Linked DNA regions of Canis lupus familiaris. The protein of the gene in region 2 purifies or fractionates together with the protein of the main gene of each other region. This does not show direct contact. Links are inferred from orthologs where the notes say so. Each region holds a gene or a part of one and is shown on either strand. Other genes may lie near its edges.

Evidence for each region.
Region 1: the proteins of FLCN (region 2) and FNIP2 purify together in Homo sapiens (affinity purification with western blotting; 5 studies listed by BioGRID and IntAct, with this or other methods). This does not show direct contact. The link is inferred for Canis lupus familiaris from reciprocal best matches to the Homo sapiens genes FLCN and FNIP2.

What each region holds. Positions count from the first base shown.
Region 1 is NC_049236.1:56,322,301-56,326,110, reverse strand, and holds part of FNIP2 (folliculin-interacting protein 2), read right to left. Parts: intron 2,920-3,810; coding exon 2,718-2,919; intron 2,405-2,717; coding exon 2,316-2,404; intron 830-2,315; coding exon 683-829; intron 565-682; coding exon 395-564; intron 1-394.
Region 2 is NC_049226.1:42,389,909-42,394,306, reverse strand, and holds the start of FLCN (folliculin), read right to left. Parts: upstream 2,910-4,398; 5' UTR 2,894-2,909; intron 587-2,893; 5' UTR 466-586; intron 1-465. UniProt on the Homo sapiens protein: Multi-functional protein, involved in both the cellular response to amino acid availability and in the regulation of glycolysis.

The DNA.
Region 1 (3,810 bases), on a different chromosome or scaffold from region 2:
AACTAGCTAGTGATGTTGCTAACCATCCTACAATGCACAAGACAGTCCTCCAATCACCACCACCACCACGATCCTCGGCCCTACAAAGAATTATCTGGTCCAAACATCAATAATGCCAAGCTTAAGAAACCCTGCTCTAGGGTGAACTGCCACTGTGGTATGGGACAACAGTTTACTCATATTGCTTTAGAAGAGCAGAACAAAGCTGCCAGCAGCAGGAAGGAGATAAAGGTATAGACTTACGACTAGAATCTGTGGGCCAATCTCCTATTGTCTGTCTGCCCAATGACAACTCCGGAAATCGCCGGGATGGAGGGCCAATTTCAACAAAAAATTTGAGCATTTTCTCCATTCCATCCCACAGAGTCTCTGAATAGTCAAATTAGGTACTAACCCAGCTGTGCCCAGAGAGGATTATATGGATGTGTTTTGGCCAGCGTGTTCACTGACTGAGAGGTGCGTTTCTCTGAGAAGGCTTTAATGGGAGGGTGATCAACAGGCATGACAGTCGGGACCCAGGCCAGGTGGTAGGTTAACACTGCAGTCAGTAAGGCAGCAAAAAACCTTGGAGAAATGGAAGAAAATACAACCAGATGAGTCAATGCAGGAAGAGGCATGTCACATGCAGCACATACACTGGCCATGAAAGTTGCATACAAGGCTCCAGAGATTTGAAGCTTACTGGTTTTTATTGATCTGTTCTATCAGAAGCGTAAACTCCTTGAGAAAGCGCTGGCAGAGCTGGGTTTTTTCCAAAGTGCTGGACATCATGGTAAGCCACACAGGTTCAGCGATCCTTGGAACAGAATATAAATTCCAGATCGTTCCTCTATAGAAAAGGGAAGAGATACACAAAATTGTCACAAGTATCATCTTGGATAATCTCTATCTAAAGGAATAAAGAAGAAAACAATAATCTGAATCTATGTAGCCCTTAAGAGATTCAAGCAGTAATATAAATCAGGGATAGGCAAACTATGGTCCACAAGCCAAATTTGACCACCATCGTTTTTGCAAATGACACTTTACTGGAATGCTGTCATGCTCATTTGTTTACATATTATCTGTTGCTGCTTTTGCATGATGGCAAAGCTGAGTAGCTGTGACAGAGGCCCCTTATAGAAAAGGTACACTAACCCCCATATAAAATATTCATTTTTAAAGCAATTTATTTCACAATGCCTAGTTTCAAAATTTATGGCTGTTCTGATAATAAAGAAATGAAGAAAAAAAAAAGAAATGAAATGAAGAAAGAAAGTATATACTATATCAAAATGTGATCAAAGGCAACTCAACACTCCCAATTTCTAGTTAGAGCTTTAGTTCTCTAAATCAAAGCACTCTATTCATTTCAGATGGAAAAACTATATAAGTGGCTTCTCTTTCATATACTGAGTTTTTATATGGGCTAACAGAATCAAATTCTTAGAAGTATAAGCTATTAGCCAAACTGGCCAATGTAGCTCTATCACTTTATAGATTCAGAAACACGCTTAGAAAAATTAAGTTACTTGAGCAAGACATTGAACAATAAGGTCAGATGAGACTTCAGGTCTCCCAACACCTGGTGCCAAGGGCTCTATCGCAAGCTTCATGACTCACAAGTGTTTTTTCAAAAAGCACAGTAAGTCAGCTTAGGATCTCCACTACAGAACACATCCACTTCAAATAAAGATAGCTGAGACATATCCTGGACTTGACTTTCTAGCTGTGTGCCTAAATAAATTGAGATGCTAGAGATTTCCACCTTGGCCAAAAACATTTGCTGAGTTAGGCAGCAATGACAAGCTACAGTCAAGTCACATGGAACTGGGATTTATTTACTAAAACTCAGGTCTCCAATTGCTAACACCAAGTGAGGCTCATCCTGGCAGACGGGAAGGTCTATATCCCTGACATATACACTCTCTCCAGCCATGCTTTGGATAGCAGCCCTGATCCCAAGTTTCCACATCTTTAAAATGGGGCTAGTTAATAGTGCTTACTCCTAGGGTTTTGTGAAGATTACATGATATAATGAATAGGCTTGTAAGAGACCCCTAAATATTAGTTTTCTCCATTCATCCTGTTAAAAGCAATCAAAGACTGGATGACAGGCAGCAGCGTAGATTATGTGGCACTGAGAGACTTAAAACTTTTTGCTCCAGTTGGTCTCGATTTCCACCTTGAGGGAAGGAGTTGCTAAAGTGAGTAATAGTTGCCAGCCTCTCAATTCTTCTAAGTAATGGTCTCTGTGTATCCCTAGATCCAAGCTGCTGCTGCTGCTACTGTCATTTATAAAGTTACCCTATTTTTGCCAGATGCTGTCAATGTACCTAAATTCTCCCAGAGCTTCCATCAGACGGCTGACATAGAACTGGACACGGAGACTTGATTCTGCTATCTTCCTGCAGGAGATCATGGCCTTCATGGAAGAGAAAACAAACCAAATTACTCTCTGAGAAGAAATTGCTTTATAACTGTCTACTACTGAGCTTTTATTAATAAAATAATATAATCAAAACATTCAATGTGTAATGACGTAAGGCATCAGGAAGCAGTAATCGCCTCTCCAAAAATACTCTAGTATTTGATATCAACATGCCTAAGCATCTATTTCTGTTGCAGATGATTTAACTTCTCTAAAAAAGTGATCTGAAACATAAACCACGCGATGCTACCACCTTAAAGCCCCATAATCACTTCTCTATTTGACACAAGAATTATGTTCTTATTACCTTTTCAATTGCACTCTTCAACCTGTTCATGTGAGATTCAAACAGGGGAAAATGAGAAAAAAAGAAGTCTTGGAAATTCCTTTGTGCGTCTTCTTTCTCACACAGAGAAAAGATGATGCTTATGGCAATTTTCTTCCTCCGAACTATGGCCGGATTAGAACTGCAGGTTTCTTCAGCCAGGCTGAATGTCTCATCAGTAGACCTGCAGGAAAAATAAGTTTGAAAAGTTGCCATGCATCAACAAATCACATCGAGGATAAACTGTAATGCCAGGGGATGACATTCAGAAAGTGAATCCAGAGCACTCAGAGTCTTAACCAAGAGTCTGTCTGCTTCCAATTCATTCTCTTCTCTAATTCTCTGTCATGAAAAATGAAAACATCAGCTTACTACACGGTATTTTCCAACATGAAAAGAAACTTAAATAAAACCTAAAAGTAACTTTAAATGTCCTCCTGTTAGACTCTTAGTCTTTTTCCCTTGGATTATTTTACATCAGACTGGTAGTATTTAGAAATTGGGGGGAGACACATCTGGTCACTCAAAACACAGGCCCTTTGTTTTGGTTAATAGATACCAATAGATAGGAACATTTCACAGGAAATGCTCCTGTGGTATTATTATTCTGTTTAACCAATGCATCATGTTTGGAAATTTATTGGTGGTTGAGGCTTACTTTGCCAAGGCTATTAAAACCATTAGATGAAGTAACTCCAGTAAATGCTCAGATTAAGCCATGCAATCGATTAAGCTCTCTGGGAAATCGCCCAAGTAAAAAGACCTATCTCTCGTCTGGGTAGTCAAATTCTCAAAAAAAACCTTAAGATTCTTTTGAGAGATTCTGTTTCTATAATAAGAGAATCATGAAGTCAATAAATTATGAGTATATACTCAATTTGTCTTAAGGGGTAAGACACAAATACAGCCTAACCCTGTCTCTTACTTAACTATCCTGAAAAACCAAGGTTGACTACCATATAGCTACTAATAGCAAGAATGAAAATAATTTTTTTCTACAAAGATACCAAAAGCAAAGTGCATAATATATTGTACATGAGCACCTTGCCTGGCACACAGCAGGTATGCAATGAAC
Region 2 (4,398 bases):
GCTCGCTCTGGTGAGATCAAAGAAAATGATGCTTTAAGAATCTATTATGGGGGACAGATTGGTGGCTGGGTGGCTCAGCAATTGAGCATCTGCCTTCAGCCCAAGGAGTGATCCCGGAGTCCTGGGATCCACTCTGCCATCAGGCTACTTGCAGGAAGCCTGCTTCTCCCTCTGCCTGTGTCTCTACCTCTTTCTCTGTGTCTCTCATGAATAAATAAAATCTTAAAAAAAAAAAAAAAAAAAAGAATCTATTATGGAAGAGGGGGGTGAAGCGACCATCAATGGAGTAAGAATCCCACAGGAAGAAGCACTAAGACATAAAGGCAGAGGCATTAACCCTGGAGAAAGAGACTACATCTTCCTTTAAGAGGAATAAAAGAGAAATAAGGTTCCTTCCAGCAAAATATCTGCAAGAAAGCAGCACTTGGCTAAGGCTCACCCAGTTTGTAGAGCATCCATACTAACCGTTATATTCAGCAAAATCACGCGTGCACCATTCCACCTAGACAAGAGCAGGCAAGGCCATTTCCAAATGAGTCGGGCAGGGCAGCGGTGGCCATACTGCAGCTCTAAGGCTTGAAGTTTTCTAGATAAGGAAAAAAAAATTTAAGCAGATCATAAAAGCAATGCACTTGGTGATACACACGCAACAATCAAGCAGCTTACTGCCAACTTAAAATGAGAACATCACAAAAAAAGAGCCAGAGATTCCCATGGTTCTAAATGGCTTAGTAGGCTTTTTGCCTTTTGAGCAGTGGCTGACAGCAAGTTGACATTGCAGCCAAACTTTGAGCTGAACTTTTGCACGCCTACACCGTATTTCATAAAGGACTTCTCTAAATATAAATATACTTACGTCTTTTAAAAATACAAAACATTTACAAATACAAGGTTCTCATCCCTCCTATTCTTGGTTACAAGGGGACTGCCTTGGCAGCACCCACACCATGCCTATGAAATCCTTCAGATCCTAGGCCTACAAGTTTCTCTCCTCCTCCAATGGGAAGGAGACACCAGAGGTGACGTTGCCAAGCTACTTCCCAGCATCCCTGGTCAACATGGGAGACTCTTACTAGTAGTTTTGTTTTGGTTTTTTTAAAAAGCAGTCCTGATCAGGAGTACAAGAGCCCCAGACAGCCAGCAGAAGACAAGGAGATACCACTTAGCTCCAGAAAATCCAGAAAGAAAACCTGTCTCCAGCCTTTACCTGACAGGTGATGTCAAGTATCTTCCTATCCTGAGAATCACCTAAAGCTGAGACACAAAGGCCAACCCCAGCTCTCAGGTTAACCACTACACGTGGAATCAGAATTCTGAGTGGCAGGAAGTCAGTTTTTCTTTTTTTTTTTAAGACTATTTATTCATGAGCGACAGAGAGAGAGAAGCAGAGACACAGGCAGAGGGAGAAGCAGGCTCCATGCAGGGAGCCCGATGTGGGACTCAATCCCGAGTCTCCAGGATCACACGCCCTGGGCGGAAGGCAGGCACCAAACTGCTGAGCCAACCCAGGTGTCCCAAGTAGTCAGTTTTCTATTTACCCCCAATTCCAATCTGAACCAGATGTTTACCGAAGAAACTAAACTGGCTTGAATATACCTAACAGTTCTCAACGAGCTTTCCAGAACCCAAGGAAGAAGCAGAAATCTGTCCCCCTCCCCTAGTCTCTTCAACTCAAAGAAAGAATCCAAATAACTCAAAAAAGTAGGGCCCTTTCCATGGCCCTGGGTCTATTTCATTTCCACTTCCTGGGGTCTTCTCATAGGACCACAGAGGCTCAAAAACCACCTTGAAAATAAACACAGCATCATAATGGTTCTTAACTAATAAGGAGCAGCAGGGTCCCCTGCAGCTTCTTTACCTAGTCTTCCACTGGGGAGTCTCATTCAGTCAGCAGCTGGACCCCAGCAAGTCCAAGGTGGAACGTTCCACAGGGAATTACTTCCAGCTCAAACCCGTTCAACACCTTGGTGGCTCTACTATTTCCACCTTCACCTGGATTTCTGTTTACCAAGTTCCCGCGGGTGACACTACCAGGGCAAACACAGCCACGTGCTGTTCCTCAATCTCCAAGGCCTCCAGCGCTTTCTCCGCTGTGACAGGAGCCCCTACAGCCACCCCGGTGGACGCCGCGGGTGCCGGGTGCCTCCTCCCATGGCTGCTGAGGCTCACCTGGGCCTCGATCCGCAGCGAGCCTACCCTTGGGTAAATAAGGATTCCAGGTGACAAGGCTGCGCCCAGCGATATCCAGCAACCCGGAGAGGAAAGCGTCTTCCAGCCGCCTTGGAGGGCGCTGAGGTAGGCCTACCCCTCCCGAGGACGGCGGCCTGGGAGAGGCGACACCCGCACACGCACCCTCCCCCGGGCAGCGGGGGCACGGCCGGACGCGCGGGCCCCGGGCAACACTCGAGGAGAACCCATCAGCGACGCCGGCCGGGTCGGAACCGAGCTCACGGTCCTCGGCCCTTTACGGTCCGGGAATCTGCCGCCCACCCCGTCAGCGGCTCCGCACAGCCGCTCCGGGGGCGCCGCACCGCCAACCCGGGCGCCCTCGGCCCCGGCACGTTCCCGGCCGGTCCTCGCCCCCCGCCGCCCGCCGCCCGCCCCTCCCCGAGCCCTCCCCCCGAACCAGGCTCCCTTCGACCTCCACGAAGCAGCCCGCCAGCCCGGGTTCCAACGGCGGCACGAGCCGGCCGGCCGCTCCGGGACTGGCTCCGCACGGACTCCGTCCGACCCCCGCGGGCGAGGAGAGCCTCGGGGCCGGAGCGGCGCTCGGGCCGCGGCGCACCTGACAGGACTCGCCCTGCGCTCCTGGAGCCCGCCGGGACGCCCGCCTGCGCTCGCGAGGCCCCGCACCTGCCCTCAGGAGGCTCGGTCCGGCCACCTCCCCACTCACCCGGGGCGGCGGCGGCGGCGGCGGCGGCGGCGGCGGCGGCGGCGCCCAGCCCGAGGCGCGTGACTTGGCCGGGCCGTACCATCCGCGCACCCCGCGGGGGGGCACGGGCTGGCTGAACGCGCCTCTGCACCGCCAAGCGAGCGGGCCCAAGCCCAGCCCGCACACCCGAGAAAACCGCGCGAGCCAGGCGGCTCTGAGCTCGCGGAAAACCTGAAGCCGCTTCCCGCCGCCTGCCTCTTCCGCCGCCCGACTTCCGCGCCTCCCCCCACCAGAAGTGAGGAATGGTTCCGGCCGCACCGGCCCGGCTGGTGGAGGAAACCATTTCAAGGCGGGGGATACTTAAAATTGAAAAATATTTTTAAAAGAGATTTGAGGGAATACAGAGCCAACCTAGTACTCCTGGTCCACAAGGAAGAGTGAAGTAGAGAAAGTCTCGATGTGATCACGAGCAGGGTAACGGCTTACGGTTTCACCATCGGCTTTGATTACATGGCATGGAACCGGTCTTCGGTGGGACGTGCCGGCAGGTGGCCCGGAGGGGGCCGTCCCGTGACGTGGGGAAGCGCGCAGCGCGGCGGGGAGGCTCGCTCGGAAACTGGAGGTGGGGTGCGGCGGAGTGCGCATGTGCCTGGCACCCTCGCCTCCCGGGGCGAGAAGGCCGGCGTCCGAGGTCTTCACTACCATGAGTCAGTTATTAAGTAATATGTATGTTTAAAACCTGGGCGCCTGTCTACTTAGAGGTTAATTCTAAAGGCTTCCGTGCACGATGTGCCGTGGACCCTTAGAGGGAAGAGCTGGAGAGATGTGGATCACACCCCGGGCCGGAGGGAGTGCGGTTGGGCCTGCGAGGCGGTGCTGCCACCTTGCGGCCGGTCGGGTCAGAGGCCGCTGGTCTCCGCGCCTCGCCCGCGTGGCTGTGGCAGGGGGTGTCGCGAGGGGGCAGGTGCGGGGGTTGGGCGGGGAAGCCTCGGCCTTTATCAAGTAGAAATTCATAACGAATTTCCGCGTTATGCTGAGGAGAGGAAAGAACGAAATTGCAATTCATTTCGTCTTCTTTAGTGGTGTGACAAAAGGTTGAGTATGGGAGTTGCGAGGTCAGGCAGTGCCTTTCTGTGTTTACTGAGTCTCCAGTTCCTCGTGATAGTGGACATCACAGACTTAATGTATTGGCTCGTAAGTCACAAGATAACTTCTGAAGCAAACAATAGAAAACCCATAAGGATAAACAGATTTGGAGGTTTTTTTTTAATTTTTATTTTAGACTTCAGATGCTTGAATTTTACTGAGTTTGCAAAATTCTTTGAAAGCCTTAGTGGGAAGGTGCAAGGAATATTTGCAGCCTCCTTATGTGACTGTGCCTCTTCCAATTTTAAAAGAAAACGTCATTTCAACATTTGTCAGAATGAACAGGGTTCACCCAGAAAATGGCCACAGCAGCAATGCTAAATACAAACTGCCTGATTTCCACAGTAATGTTATTTACATGACTTTACAAAAATTTCAAT